Linked DNA regions of Mytilus edulis. Each later gene encodes a partner of the first gene's protein in a complex. Links are inferred from orthologs where the notes say so. Each region holds a gene or a part of one and is shown in the gene's direction. Other genes may lie near its edges. The genes, in order: signal peptidase complex subunit 2-like and signal peptidase complex subunit 1-like.

Region 1 (8,214 bases):
GTTTTCCCATTCGTGTGTTACAATTTATAAACTGTCAGAAAAAGATGTCAATCAAATAGCAAGTTATTTCATTCATATATTTCAAAATAAACTACAAAACAAAATATCAAGTCAGTTAATGCAAAGAAAAATACTTCATAGATGTATTCTACTTACTCAAAAGTGGTCTTTCTGTTATGTCAAAAAATTGTAACAACAAGTGAAGTAATTGAAAAAAAAATTTTCATTTAAAAGTGGTAATCTTAGTAAATAGTAGGATCAAGAGCTTCCTTATCACCTCCATAATATGTTTTTGTAAATTTTTATTTTTTTCTAAAATGTTAAAAACCTTTTGATATTATTTTTATAATGAAACTACTTGGGTTCTTTAAGACAGTAACTTATGAAGTTCTTGTAACTGGGAAAACACTACATGCATTGATTTATTAGTTAGATAAAACAACTAGCAGATTTCTACATCACAGCAAAAATTAACAAAAAATACTTACACATCACTATTATAAAAAAAATAATAATATATTAATTATTTATATTCATATATCAACATCTGTTTCACTTTAAAGCTAAATGCTTAATGGGGGGGCCTTAATCAACTGCTCAAGACATAAAATAAAGTAAATAATGTCTAGTACTAAATGTGATTTCTGCACATACTTTGATTTTAATGCTACATTCCCCTCAATCAATGTGGTTTAATTTCAGCTTTAAAGAATGCAATTAACATTTATGGTTTTATGAATAAAGGAAGGTGTGGGTATATGTCAATGAGACAGTAACCCAACATAAGAAACAATTAAAAGACAATGTAAATAGAAATAAAATATAACTGACTTGTTTTACAAAAATGTCTTTTCTTTGTATTAATACTTTCTCTGAGTGGATCTCTCAGATTCCAAACTTTCATTCTACTTACTCATTCGGAGGCTTGTACTTCAGCACACGAAGAGTAGTGAAAATTCGTATTGCTGTTTGATCTGGACTTTCTTCTCTTATATCTAGCTTTTGCTAAAAAAAAAAAAAATTTGAATTACTGTTAACTTTGGTTAAATCAAAATAAATATTATAAAACTATTTAAGTTTTTATTTGGATGTGTTCATTTATTGCATTGGAAATTATATAAACATGATAAAATAGAGAAGAAGGGTTATAATAGACATGACAACAATACTGCAAACTGATTTTTATATTTGTTGGAAAGAGGAAAACTTTTAAACCAAATATCTCCATGCCTTAGTTTGTGAAAAAGTCAATTTACACAAGGGAAAAACTGTTTTTTTTAACTGTACTACATGCACATTGTATGAAAAATTCATGTAAAGGAGCAGTGGATTTTATATTTATAACGACCCTGCATACCCTCGGGTATCCACTTTATGGACTCTACCGTACTACAGACTCACCAGGCGTTGGTTCACTTTCGTTTGTAATTGATTTATATTTATAAGTTAAGGTTTGTTTTCCATTTATATTCAGTTATTATTTCATTACCTTTGGATCAATGACAGCAATGATATCATTGAGAACTTGTAACAGCTGAAGTGGTTCAAGAGAATCAAACGATATCAAGTTGTAGGTCTTACTGAATGGTTCTTTTTTCAGTTCCTGAGTGATGAACTTCAATTGTTCACTCATGACTGAACAAATAGTTTCCCTGAAATGAAAAAAAAGACAACTTTACACATACTGTTTACAATGTCTATGCATATGTTACTTTATGTATGCCTAGTACTGATATTATTAGGATTTCCATGCTGTTTCTTTTCAACTTTTATGTCTATGTACATTTACATGTTGATTACTTATAAGGTGTTACATTGCATGTTGTTACATTTGTGAAGCCATTTTTAGGTGTGGAAATTTGTTAACAAAAAGTTGATAATTTTCACAAATTAACCTGTAAAACATGCAGTAATTTCAGCAAAAATCAGCTATGCGGAATCAAACTTAAACTTGATCTGTAACCCATTAGTGTAAACTAACATAATAAAAAATCATCTCAAAAATGTGAAGGAATGTAGAATAAAAGCTTGAAAAGTCTGTATAACGACAATCACTTTTCCATTGTGGCATCAGATATAATCTGATACATGTATTGTGATGTCAAAATATTATGGTATTATTTTAGATGTCCATGGCCAGTAATGGTGGTAAAAAAGACAATACACCTTATTGCTATTTGTCTGCCCATAGGCATTATTGGCCATGGACATCACAAAAAATGCTGATTTTTTTTTAAGTCATAATCATAATAGAAAATATTTGACGCCCCAAAAGAAAAGTTATTGTTGTATGACGTCAAAAATTCAAGCGAACAGATTTTTGAGTAAAGCGGGACAGATTTTCAAATAGCAATAAGATGGATTCCTTTTTCTTTGGTATTAGGTCTGTTCGTGCCCAATACACTTTCGCACCCAAGGTTCATTTATTCGTTCGCTCCCAATCTTAAAGCAAATTCTTGTTGAATAATTAGAAAATCATAATTGTTGTTTTAAATTACTTTCATGTAAAATACTGCATAAAGCTTGGTCTGAGTAAATTTTTTTTAATTTTAAATGAAAAACACAAAAGATAATTGTTTTTAACAGTTTGGCTCCTTTGATCTGAAACAATGAAACAAAAAAATTATAGCAATACACAAATCAAAACATGATTAAAATGTATTCAACAAACATAAAAAAAAACGCAGAATCTCACTTTATTTTGAAATAATTAAAAAATGTTATACATGTAGCAATACACTTACCAAAACATGATTAAGATTTATTCAACACAACAACAAAAAATTGTTGACAGAATCTCACTTTATTTAGAAACTGATTAATTTTTTTTTACAATACACTATCCAAAACTTGATTAAGATTTATTCAACACAAAAAAAACGTTGGTTTACTTTACTTTGAGACAATGACAACAAATTAACTAATAGGAATACACTTGCCAAAACTTGATAACAAAGTCACTAAACACAAAACCAATAAAAAATTTGGGCAGGAATGTGTAGGGTGCGAAAGTGAATGGGCCCAAACAGACCCAGATTCTTTGGCTTTTCTCTTAAGCCTCAGTCACACCTTAACAGATAACTTTTTTTCAAATCGTTCATGTCTGTTCTTATTCGTTAGACGTCCGTCCATATCAGTTGCATTTCCGTTTAGCGTACGTTTTATCCGTCAACTCCGTTCTGTCTGGTGGAAAATTTTGAGTATGTTCACAACTTTGAATGGACGTACAACGGATACTGAACGGATCCGAAACGGATAAATGCCAATTGAAAATGCTGCGTCAGAAATGCCAAATAGATTTCTTAAGGTTCATGAATTCTTATTATTCATAATAGATCTTAGAGGGCAATAAGAGTAAAAGCACGTCTTCACATTCAAGCAGCTCTTATTCAGGCCAAACACTTTTTTGAAGAAAAAACCAAAACCAGTTACACAGTTGTTGAAGGCCATACGGTGACCTATAGTTGTTAAAGTCTGTGTCATTTTGGTCTCTTGTGGATAGTTGTCTCATTGGCAATCATACCACATCTTCTTTTTTATATACACAGATCAATTTTGAATATTTATATGGGGACGAAGTCCCCAATAACAGTAGAAAATTCAATAAAAAAAAAATCGGGAAAATTTCCCGAATTTTTCATTGTACTAATGAACTCAAAATCGTTCAATTTTTTTTATGTCATGTTTTGAAATCCCGGACCTGCGCAGAAATGTACAATGTACTTCCTTTTTCCGGTCTCGTTTGTATGAAACTTTGAGTAAAATATATATTTATCAGTCTAGTATAAAATAGGAAGGAATGCGCAATACCAATTTCATTTTTAATAATTCCTTGATATGAAAAAACGTTACCTGATGATAGCGTTTCTTTGTTTACATTGCATATGACGTCATAACTTAAATAACGTCACAACTAAAATCCCTAACAAAAGAACCAAAATCGGAAACGTTACGGTATTTCCGTTTCTTTTTCTTAACAAATATATAAATGTAAGTTACAAAAAAATAATTCATACAGACTTCGTCCCCATTTACAGGTAATGCCTGCCTCATATTATGATTTACATGTTTTATTATTGTCGCTTTTAATTTTTCTGTATATCTTGTTCATCCGTTTTATCCGGTACGCTTCCCTAAGGTGTCATTTTTATGTGGTACTCGTCCGTTGGATGTACATTTGACATCCGTTCTGTCCGGTACATTTCCGTTTCTCGTACATTGAATATCTGTGTGTGTCCATAATGCATTCGATACGTCCGTTTTATTTTGTCAGTACATCAACAGACTCCCAACGGATAATAATTTTTTCAACTGAAAACTTTCATTTTCATCTGTTTGGTTCCGTTCCTGCTATCCCATAAGGTGTGACCGAGGCTTAACAGAAGCTGATCAATGTATATATGATCTGATCATCAACACAGATTTTGATTCAATAATCTGAAATAATTGAAATTCTTTGGAAAATAGTGCAACCGTTTGGGGAATAGTTATAAAACCAAAGTTTATTGTATCAATAAATCCACTCATGAATCAACAAGAGCATTATTGCCTGTAAATTGGTATATTCAGAAGACAGAACGCTTGTTTCATATAAGAATACCTAAAACAAATTTCAAACTTAGCAGAATTATCTTTACTTTATGCCTTTACGTTACGTCTATCACATTTTCTTTTCCCATAAAGATGAAACTTTCAAAAAACCATACCTATCTTCTAATCTGTTCTCCAAAATAAATTTCTCTATGGAATTTACCACAACTTCCGGTTACCTTTTTAATAATCTCTAACTATTTTTTATAAATTACATATTACTTTGTCTCCAAATATTCTTAGTTAATTAACATGAGAGTCTAATTATTATTATAAATATGACCACCAAAATAGAGTTGATAGTATATTATTTAATATTAAGTATACACTATTTGGTTTTCGATTAGTCTCCTTCTATACGTGTACTTCCTGTTTCATTTTTGAGATGGCTTCAAAAAAGACCGGCTTGATGGACAAAGTAATTTTTCTTTAGCAATGATGAGAAATTTTGTAATTTAAACAACACACAAAACATTTTCAAAATCTGTTTTTCAAGTTGCATGCCTGTTTGAACAATGGTATTGCGTTGAAATTCGGGAAATCACTTTCCATATGCGGAAAATATTGCCTTTATAGCAAAATACCACAGGCACTTGTTTCTATCCATACGAAGGTCGACTATACATATACATCTATTTATATGGATAGTCGACCTTCGTATGGATAGAAACAAGTGCCTGTGCAAAATACACCTTATCGCTATTTGTCCGCCATTGCTAGAAATCACACAGGTTCCCGTAAAATTTTGACGTCATAAAACAAAATATCTGACGCCACAATGGAAAAGTGATTGTTGTTGACGTCAAAGGTTCAAGCGGCCTGGTCAGCCGGGATTAGCGATAAGGTGTATTAAAGCTAAATATATATAAATGATGTGGTGGTATCAGTGTTCTCCCCAGGCCGATATGACGGTGCGGTGCCGCAGCGCCTTCATAATATTTTTGTTAATCCAGCAGCGTCTTAATTGGCCGCTTTTACTACTTGATCCCGCAGCGTGTTAATTTTCACATTTTCATTATAAATGTTGGTTAAAATTGTCAAGTTGCTGATCACCGCTGGAAGAAGAAGAGAGGTCGGTCAGTGTTACGCAATATCTGATAATATAGTTTTACCTGAGCCACACTTATCTCAGCCGTATTGGACTATGTTAACTTATCATGTAATAGCGTAAATGATCATCAAGAAGATAGATATTTTCAGAAGAAAATTAAAAAAATTAAAATCTTCAGTGCAGAAATTGAAGAAATAGATCGCAAATACATTGTATTTAAGCATCGTGTGTGTGTTTACTTGACCATTTATATAACGAATTTTTTGCATTGGTCGAGAAGAAGAATCTATTGAAACACGACCAATGAACGTGTTCAATACACGTTATAGATTTGAATACACATTGCTAAAGATATTTACGATGAAAATTATGAACGAGAGTATTTGTTGTTGAAAAAATTAAAATAAACTTTAATTAAAGATAACGAGAAGTAATTTATTTTAATTGAAAGTGAAAAATGTTGCTTGCAAGGTAAATTCGTTTCAAACTGTCATATTTTTAGAAATAAAATGATCATTGAACATCGATCGTGAGTCCGTGCGTCTGGAACATATTATGTGACAATCAACAAATAAACAAAATAACACTATCTTGAAACAATATCCCTAGAAGTAGCAGAGAGTACAGAGATGAATATTTATATTTTGACTTCTTTAATTGACTGAATATAAATAACTTTTGTGTTTAAAATCAATTTATTTCATAAATATAGTATATTATTCATTTCTTGTATAAATTCATTTATTCTCTGCATTATTAAACACACAACACAAAGCAATATTGCATGTTATGATTTATGACTGATTGATTCAGATCACAAAAGTTCACTACAAAAAAGGAGTTACGCGCCCTTGAATTTTGCGCCTTAAAAAAATCCTGGGGAGAACACTGGTATGATTGCTGTCTATGATCAAGTTGTTCAACAGCCAATAGAGCTAGTCTACTGTAGTGATGAGAATCTTTCAAATCTCATTTAAAACTGATCAGATAAACAAATAACAATTTCCAGTCAGGGCTGATCTAGGGATCGATGAAAGGTTGTTTTTTTTGTCCTTTTGACAATATTAAACGATGAAAAAAATGGTGTTATTGGAACATGTAGCTGTGGAACTGGAATTCTGGTAAAATCATCACATTGTTTCATCATCATCTACATGTAGTCAAATCGGTCTGCAAATTATCCAAAAAATGTAACAAAAAGTTGAGATACAGTTTCACAGCCCTTCCAAGGGTACAGTTCAATTCAATTTTCATAAGTTTCTTATTATAAAGTGGGATGAACATTTCTGTCCCCACTGAATCAGCCCAAATAAGGTTCTAGCTGATCAGTTCCTGAGGGTAATTTTAACAGGTGGAGTTTGCATGATTGATTTTACTTTTCAGCTTACAATGTATGTTACATGAATCAGGAGGTTGCACTTCTGTTAAAAGTTACACCGTTCTGTTTTTGATGCATTAACTATGTGCTGTAACCTTTTTTCCTATATATAATGAATGATTTTTTGCCATTGCGAAGAATACATCATGCTCCTTATAATTTGAGTCTTCTTCTTCTTCTGGTATACATGTACAGCTGTTATAGCTTTATTTTATAATATGAGGCAGGCATAACCTGTGAATGGGGACGAAGTCTGTATTTTTATTTTTATTTAAATTCAAACATGTTAATAAAAGAAACGGAAACACCGTACGTTCCGAGTTTGGTTCTGTTGTAAGGGATTTAGCTGTAACATTCTTTAAGTTATGACATCATATTAAATGTAAACAAAAGAAACGCTTTCAACAGGTAACATTTTTTTCATATCAAACAATTATTAATAATGAATTTGTATTGAGTTCCAATCTTATGTTTTACTAGACTGATAAATATATATTTTATTCCAAGTCTTATTCAAACAAGACCGGAAAGGAAAGTAGATTTTTTTGCGCAAATGCAGGGAAAACCGGAACAGGAAGTAGATCTGAAAAAGAAAGTTAACGATTTGAGTTCATAAGTAGAATGAAAAATTCTGGAAATTTTCCCCGATTTTTTTAAATTTTTTTTTTATTGACTTTTCTACCATAATTGTGGACTTCGTCCCCATATAATTAACGGTTGGACCTTAAGGCCACATCAAAAAAATATGTGGTTCAGTATTTTTTAATTGAAAATACAGGGATTACAGGTGAACAAATTTTGTTTAAATTTTATTTCAATGAATCTTGAGTGATAGAAAATATATTTTAGTATATGACTGTGCTGACATTTAATAGTTACTACATTTTTAGACCTGGAACAAATTAAGTGCTTACCATATTTGTATGGATATGTGCAACTGCTGTATGTTGAAACAGTATATTAACCAAGAGTATATTAGCATTTTATGATAGGGTTCAATGCTGTCTCAGCCAGTGTAAACCCCTCATCTCATTTTATACCAAGAAAAAAAACTCCATCCTAATAAAGATATATATATGGTTTGATAATATGGCTTTTAAGGAATGTTATTTATTCATTTGAACTTTTGTAATTGTAGAACGAATCAGAACAGGTTAGTTTTTAGTTTCAGAGATCAATCTGTAGAGCACCATAT
Region 2 (7,506 bases), on another chromosome or scaffold:
TGTTCTTTTATCAATTTCTGCTTCTATTGGCATCTGGCCAGACAAAAGATAAGTTGCTGAGTCAGCTGTTCTTTCTGGTAGATGCTGAATACGTTTTAATAGTTGTTTGAAATAAGATGACAGAGCTTTTATATCACTAATCATTAATCTAACTACTTCAAGTCCATGTATAAGTCTTGGAATTATAAATATACGGATGATATGGATGGATACAGTGGGGTTTAAACCGTTCAGACCGTGGAGGCCAGCTCCCATTAGCGCATATGTTGCCTTTCTAGCAGCACTGATCCTTGCGTTGCTAACATTCTTTGTGCCAAACTTTGATGAATTATCTCTTTCTATACCCAGATGCACAGCAGATTGTGATGTTGGAATCTCTTCTGAGTTCATGGTGAATTTCCTAGGTTGTTTGTCATTAAATTGAACCACAGATGATTTTTGTTTGCATAATCCCCTTGTATGTCAAGCATTGCTTGCAGATCCTCCGGGTTGTTTGACACCAGACACACATCATCTGCTACTGTTGGTGTGCCACAATAAATTGGTCCAACATAACTTCCTAGATTCTGAGTCTCTATATGGTCCAACATTGGGTTAATAAAAAGTTTATATGCTGCAGGGGAGGTAACACCACCTTGACGTACCCCTTGATGCTCAGAGAATACCTTTGATAGTTCACCTTCCCATTTGATTTGAGATGTTAAATCTTTATACCATTCTTTGAACATCAGCCATGAGTCACTTTCAATACCACTTTGATGTAGCTTTCGTAGTAATGAGCTGTGCCAAACTAAGTCGAAAGCCTTCTGGGCGTCAAGAAAGGCAACATATAATGGCCTGTGCATGTCCTGCGCCTCCGCAATTAGTTCATTAAGTATCAGAGCTGCGTTTAGTCCAGATATACCCTTAGTGAAATCCCGTTGTAGTGGGCTCTGTGCATTTTTGAGTGTTTCATCTTTCTTTTCTAAATATAATGTTTCTAGTATTTTGTTTAGAATACTGGTTACAGTTATTTTCCTATAAGAGTTGGGGTCATCTAGTGGTTTCCCTTTTCGCTTAAAAACTGGCGTTGCTATACCAAGTTTGAGTAGATCTGGAATTGAGCATACATGAAATATCATATTGATTAGTTTTGTTACTGCTGAAATTACTATTTGGCCTCCGTTCTTTAAATGTTCACTTGTCAAGTTTGCACAATCGGCTGCTTTACCGCTCTTTAAAGTGTTAATCACCTTTTCAACCTGCTCTTCAGTTACAGAAATTTTTTCACTATTTTCGAGATTTGAAATATATGTATCTTCAAACAAGAGACAGTCTAACTCTACTTGGTTGTTATATAGAGCATCTTCGTAGTTAGAGCTTGAAGGTGTTGCTAGTTCCTCAAAGTACTCAGCCCACCCTTTCCTTATTGAGTCAGGGTTGTCATAGATACCATTCCGTTAAATTTCAGTTGTGTTGTTTTTTCCATACCAGTTCTTCGTTGATCATTTACTAACTTAAAGAATAGTTTTTGGTCACCTTCCCTAGCTGTCATTATATTTTCAAACTTTTGTTTTCTGGCTACCGCTTCTAGTTGCCTCTGAGTTGACCTAAGTTTGCGTTTTCCATTCTTCATGTTTCTAAAATGAATGTTCTCCTGGTCTCTTGGACGACCAGCCATCTTCCACTTCCAAAAATGGTGTTTATTTTCACAACATGCCTTTTTGATTTCATCAGGCCAGTATCTCTTTCGAGGGCGAGATTTTTGCTTATTTGGTTTTGCACATTCCTTAGCTGTAACTTTGACAAGAGCCATGACAGGATCGTGTTGTGAAGTGTTCATATAGTCTCTTTCCAGGTTCACAAACTGATTAATGATATGGTGGTTACTTTGTAATATATAGTCAATTCTTGACGAGCATTTCCCACTATGGTGAAAATAAGTGTCACATTCATTACTTTCTGGTATATGAAGTTCAAATTCATGGATAAAATCTAAAAACAACTTGTCTCTCCGACTCAAATTTTCCTTCATTATTGAGGCATTTACATCACCAGCTATTATTATATCACAGGTAGGCTTGAATTTATATATTATTTCCCCTATTTCCTCTAAAACAGCTTTGAACTCATCATCTGCATTTTTCGAACCGCTACACGGCATATACTACACCAATAATTACTCAAATTCTATGGTATTGAAAATAACACACTAAATTGGATTCAGGCATTTTTACAGGACAGAACACAAACGGTAGTCATTAATGGCATTTCCTCCACCTCAGTACCCGTAACATCTGGTGTACCACAAGGAACAGTATTGGGCCCAATACTGTTTCTTATCTATATAAATGACTTACCGGAATATCTAGAACACAGTAAACTTAGACTCTTTGCTGATGACAGCATAATTTACAGGGAAATAAAAACACAAGATGATTGTCATAAGCTACAACTCGACCTTGACTCAGCAGCTCGATGGGAGTCAGATTGGCTTATGGCATTTCACCCTGATAAATGTACAAACCTTTCCATCTCTCAAAAGAAAAATAACTACCGGCATAATTACATCCTCCACAATCACATTCTCGAATCAGTTACATCAGCAAAATATTTAGGCATTACATTACAATCAAATCTAAAGTGGAACAAACACATAGACAACATAGTATCAAATGGGAACAGATCACTTGGTTTTCTAAAAAGAAATTTAAAAATTACAAACACAGAAACAAAATCAAGAGCATACCAGGCACTAGTAAGACCCAAACTGGAATATAGTTGTAGTGTCTGGGACCCCCATATGAAAGAACAACAGATACAATTAGAAAAGGTACAGAGGCGTGCTGCTCGTTATGTACACAACAACTACGATTACACGAGCAGTGTCACAAACATGCTAAATCAGTTGAAATGGCCACCACTAGCTGAGAGACGCTTAAAAACCAGACTTATTTTATTTTATAAAGTAATACATTGTCTTGTTGCCATTCCATCGCATATTCTTGAACAAACAGACAGCAGAACAAGATAAAATCATACTCAGACATACAGACACATCCAAACTTCCAAGGACACATACAAATGGTCATACTTCCCGAGAACAATTATTCAATGGAATTTATTACCACAAACTGTAATTGAAACCACCACTGTTGACAGCTTTAGATATCAGCTAACACCAGCTGTTCTCTCTAGCTTCAAATAAACAATTTCAAACAAAACATGTACATATATTTTTAATCACAATCTGTAAATACAAACACTCCAACTGTTATAAAATATTTTTATAAATTTTGTATAAATTTTTGTCAATCACGCATGCGCAACAACATGTATTCTTCAGTATTGAAGCCTTGTTGACCTTATAGAAGAAGAAGAAGGTTTAGTCCTACAGTTTAGTTTAACTACTGTGACTCGACTGCTACCATCTTGTTGTTCCTCTATAGCATGAGCAATATTGTTCTTATAGCAAATAGCTGTACCCCCTTTCCCTCTAGGACGTTGCGATGGAGGCAGAGGATCTGCATCATCAACACACTTAGGTGGCAGGTACCAGTTTTGGTGTACCAGAACATGTGTCCCACGCAGAAATTTTGTTATAGTTCAGTATTGAGGTATATAATTGCATCATGTGGACTAAAAAAATAAATGAATGTAAATTCTAGGCTATTGTACTACACAAGTAAGTAGTTGCATACACAGGTTGGGGATTTCCTTCACATATAGGTCCAATCAGATGTCAAAATTGTGGTCTCCTCACTTGACGGCATCCAATCAAAGTGGGGGAAAAATTCAGTTTTATGTAAACAAAAATATCTTGAGATTTTGATGGTAAGGATAGGTTCGGACAAGGCTCTAATTCACTGAATATCCTTTCTCTCTTGAATTTTGGCTAAAATTCTTGTCGGCTTTTAGCAGGATTTTGCAGGTGAGGATTAGATTGGTATCAGAGCATCACATTTTTTGCCTTATTTGCAATGCATTTATAAATTTTTAAATTTCCATGCTGGACAGACACCCAAATTTAAAGGTTTTCTATATATTAACATAAGCACGCACACATCTTAGTTCCTTGAAACCATACATTTTATTTGTATATAAGTTTGAATGAATTTTCAAGAAAATAAAATCATAAATCCATGAAATTCTAAAGATTTATTGTAAAATAACTGGTTTCTGCCACCTTAACGAAACAGCTGTAGATTACGGAAATCGAGTTCTGTTTCCTAACTTGGACCAAAGTTTTCGTATTAGGAACGATAACTCCGTAATTATTTTTGACACGACAACTTCCTGTAGGAAAGTAAATCTAAAATCAGACTTTTTCACGATACAGCCAACACAATGGATCTCGAGAGATTTCTCCCAGAAGCATTTAAGAAAGTCCCTCTGCATATGGTAATTAAAATTATTTAAAATGCTATAGTATGGATGCCGGAAATCTTTTTTATCTGCTGGCAGTGCTGCAGTCTTGAAGTTTGAACAGCTGTTTGCCCTTTACCGACTTCTTCTTCTTCTTCTTTAGGTTTCTAGCGATCCTTCAATTATTGAAGATTATTCGCCGGGCGTCGACTATAAAATTTATAATTTACACTAATTTAGCAACAAAAAATCAAAAATAACAAAATCAAAAAATCAACATAACGTATGTACATTTGAAAAAATAAATTTTGATAAAACTATATACATTTGATAACAGAATAGTTAGGGATAGAATATGGGGATGAGAGCAGATTCTGAGATCATACTCTTGAATCCCTCTACTGTACTGCATGATACTATTTGTTGTGGCAGATGATTCCAATTTATAACTGTTCGAGGATAAAATGAATATTTATAACTGTCTTTAGATGTTTGTATTTGCCTAAATGAGTGTGGATTGCTATGTCTGGTTCTATTGTCAAGTGGGATCAAAAGATTATGTGTAGGAACTGCAACAATTTCATGAATAATTTTGTAAAAGAAAACAAGTCTGTATCGTAAGCGCCTAATTTCGAGTAGGTACCAATTTAGGTCTGTCATCATTTCAGTAACTGAGCTGTTGTTATGGAAGCGGTTGCATGAGAAGCGTGCTGCTCTTCTCTGAACCTTTTCAATTTGTAGAGTTTGTTGTTTTTGATGTGGGTCCCAAATTGTTGAGCAGTACTCTAATTTTGGTCGGACAAGAGCTTTATATGCATGAGCTTTAACTTTCGGTGATGCTATTTTTAGGTTTCTACGAATAAATCCAAGGGACTGGTTTGCTTTTGATGTCATGTTATCTATATGTTTGTCCCATTTTAAATTTGATTGAAGAGTTAGGCCTAAATATTTTGTAGAGTCAACTTTTTCTAAAGAGTGATTGTGTAATTTATAGGTAAAGTCTAAAGGTTTGCGTTTTTGGGTTACACTGAGAATGTTGCACTTATCAGGGTGAAAATGCATGAGCCAGTCCTGCTCCCACCTGCCGGCCGCTTCTAAGTCAGACTGTAATTTAAATGTGTCATCTGTTTTTTTAATTTCCCTATAAATAATGCTGTCATCTGCAAACAATCTTAATGTACTGTGTTCAATATATTCTGCCAAATCATTAATGAAGATTAAAAATAAAATTGGACTTTTTGAAAATGATATATGCTTTTTATTGTCTTAAGATATTAATAAACAACCTTTGTTTTGTTCTATGCACTCATATAAAAACTTTCAAAATTGTAAAATTTGAGGCATTTATAACAAACATATTTTACCACCATGAGTATCGTTTAGTCATCTGTTCTCGATAGTAATCAGTTCTCCTTAGCAATGCTTGTGGTTAAAATAAAAGTAGTTCAAGAAATTGTACATGTTTTCTATTTGTTGGTATTTCAAGGACAGAATAAAACTTGCTTCAAGCATGCATTTATTTCAACATTTCAAGTCTTTAGTGAGTGTCAACTTGACACTATAATCTCTCTGTATTTAGATCACACTGGTAGTTTTATGTCGCTATTGTATAAAACTCATTAATATGTTTGTATTTATGATGTGGCACTGCAGAGAAAATTAATTAGATAAATAAATAAATAATTAAATAAAATAAAAATATATAAATTAATATGAGGCAGGCATTACCTGTGAATGGGGACGAAGTTTGTTTAAATTATTTTTTTTGTATTGTAAATATTTGTTAAAAAAAAGATACGGAAATACCGTAACGTTTCCGATTTTGGTTCTGTTGTTAGGGATTTTACTTGTGACGTTATTTAAGTTATGACGTCCTGTTCAATTTAAACAAAGAAACGCAATGCATCAGGTAGGCCTAACGTTTATTCATACCAAAGACAAAGAATGATTAGAAATGAAATATTGGTATTGTGTTCCTTGAGTTCCTATATTTTACTAGACTAATCAAAGTCTCACGACAACAAGACCGGAAGAAGGAAGTAGAGTTATGTGTTCTGCGCAGATCCGGAAATTAAAAAACACGACAAAAAAAAATTGAACGATTTTGAGTTTCATTAGTACAATGAAAAATTCGGGAAATTTCCCGATTTTTTTTTTTTTTATTGAATTTTCTACTGTAATAGGGGAGTTCGTCCCCATAATAAATATTTAACCCTTATAAAACCTTAACTATCTATTTTGTGAACCTTCCAGTATCTTTAATAAAGACCCCTAACAAATTTTGAATATCTTCTATATGATGTTTGTAATTTTCATTTTCTGTTGTTGCTAATAATACTTCTGATTCAAGTGTTAGTTTTGATGTTATGAAGTAGAGTGCAGAGCAGAGTTTCTCTCTAGCCTCCTATTAATTTTCACAATACAGTAAATAATGGTCAACTGTTTCTTTTTGTCCACAGCTGCATTTGTCGTTGAGTGCTGGGCATATCATTGATTTGTACGAGTTTAATTTACAATATCCTGTTCTTGAACTTGTTGATATCCGATACATTTCAGTTGAAGATTGTCTTTTGGAAGTGTATTTTTTACATTTTGATGAAAGAAATAATATCTTCTTCCATTATCACTGTTGTCCGATCGGTTTTGCCATTTTACCATTACACTGTCTTGTTTCTTTTTGTATATCTTGTTGTTTGTAAATATTGGAATGCTTTCTATTTTTTCTGCCTCCTGTGATACTTTTTTAGCTAGTTGGTCTGCTAGTTCATTACCTTGTTTTTCAGCGTGTCCAGGGGTCCATTCAATGGAAGTAATGATTTCTTTAGATTTTAGTACCAAAATACCAATTTTAATATCATCATGATCATGAATAGTTTTGCCGTAATTAACTGATTTCCAATTTAAAGTTCGAATTCCAATTGCTGATGGGCTGTCTGAAAAAATTTTGATGGATTCTGTTGTTTGGAATAATAAGAAAATCTGTTACCAGCTTGATAGCTACTAATTCCCCTAATAAAATAGATCCTCTATTAGAAACTGGCTGTGTTAACTCCACATGTTCTGTGCTGTTTGGTATTAAAACAGTCGCCCCAGCCCCACATGGACCTGGGTTTCCTCTGCAGGAGCCATTTATATAGTGAAAGGTATTGTTGTATTCTTTTT

What was found.
Region 2: signal peptidase complex subunit 2-like (region 1) and signal peptidase complex subunit 1-like share a complex: the UniProt entries of both Caenorhabditis elegans proteins name them as parts of the signal peptidase complex. The link is inferred for Mytilus edulis from reciprocal best matches to the Caenorhabditis elegans genes spcs-2 and spcs-1.

The regions. Positions count from the first base shown.
Region 1 is NC_092346.1:86,978,096-86,986,309, forward strand, and holds the start of signal peptidase complex subunit 2-like, read left to right. Parts: upstream 1-4,927; 5' UTR 4,928-4,975; coding exon 4,976-5,008; exon of another isoform or gene 5,009-5,025; coding exon of another isoform or gene 5,026-5,040; intron 5,041-8,214. Other genes in the region: intraflagellar transport protein 81 homolog, read right to left, coding at 914-1,005, 1,490-1,633. UniProt on the Caenorhabditis elegans protein: Component of the signal peptidase complex (SPC) which catalyzes the cleavage of N-terminal signal sequences from nascent proteins as they are translocated into the lumen of the endoplasmic reticulum.
Region 2 is NC_092356.1:70,170,840-70,178,345, forward strand, and holds the start of signal peptidase complex subunit 1-like, read left to right. Parts: upstream 1-4,220; 5' UTR 4,221-4,326; coding exon 4,327-4,380; intron 4,381-7,506. UniProt on the Caenorhabditis elegans protein: Component of the signal peptidase complex (SPC) which catalyzes the cleavage of N-terminal signal sequences from nascent proteins as they are translocated into the lumen of the endoplasmic reticulum. Dispensable for SPC enzymatic activity.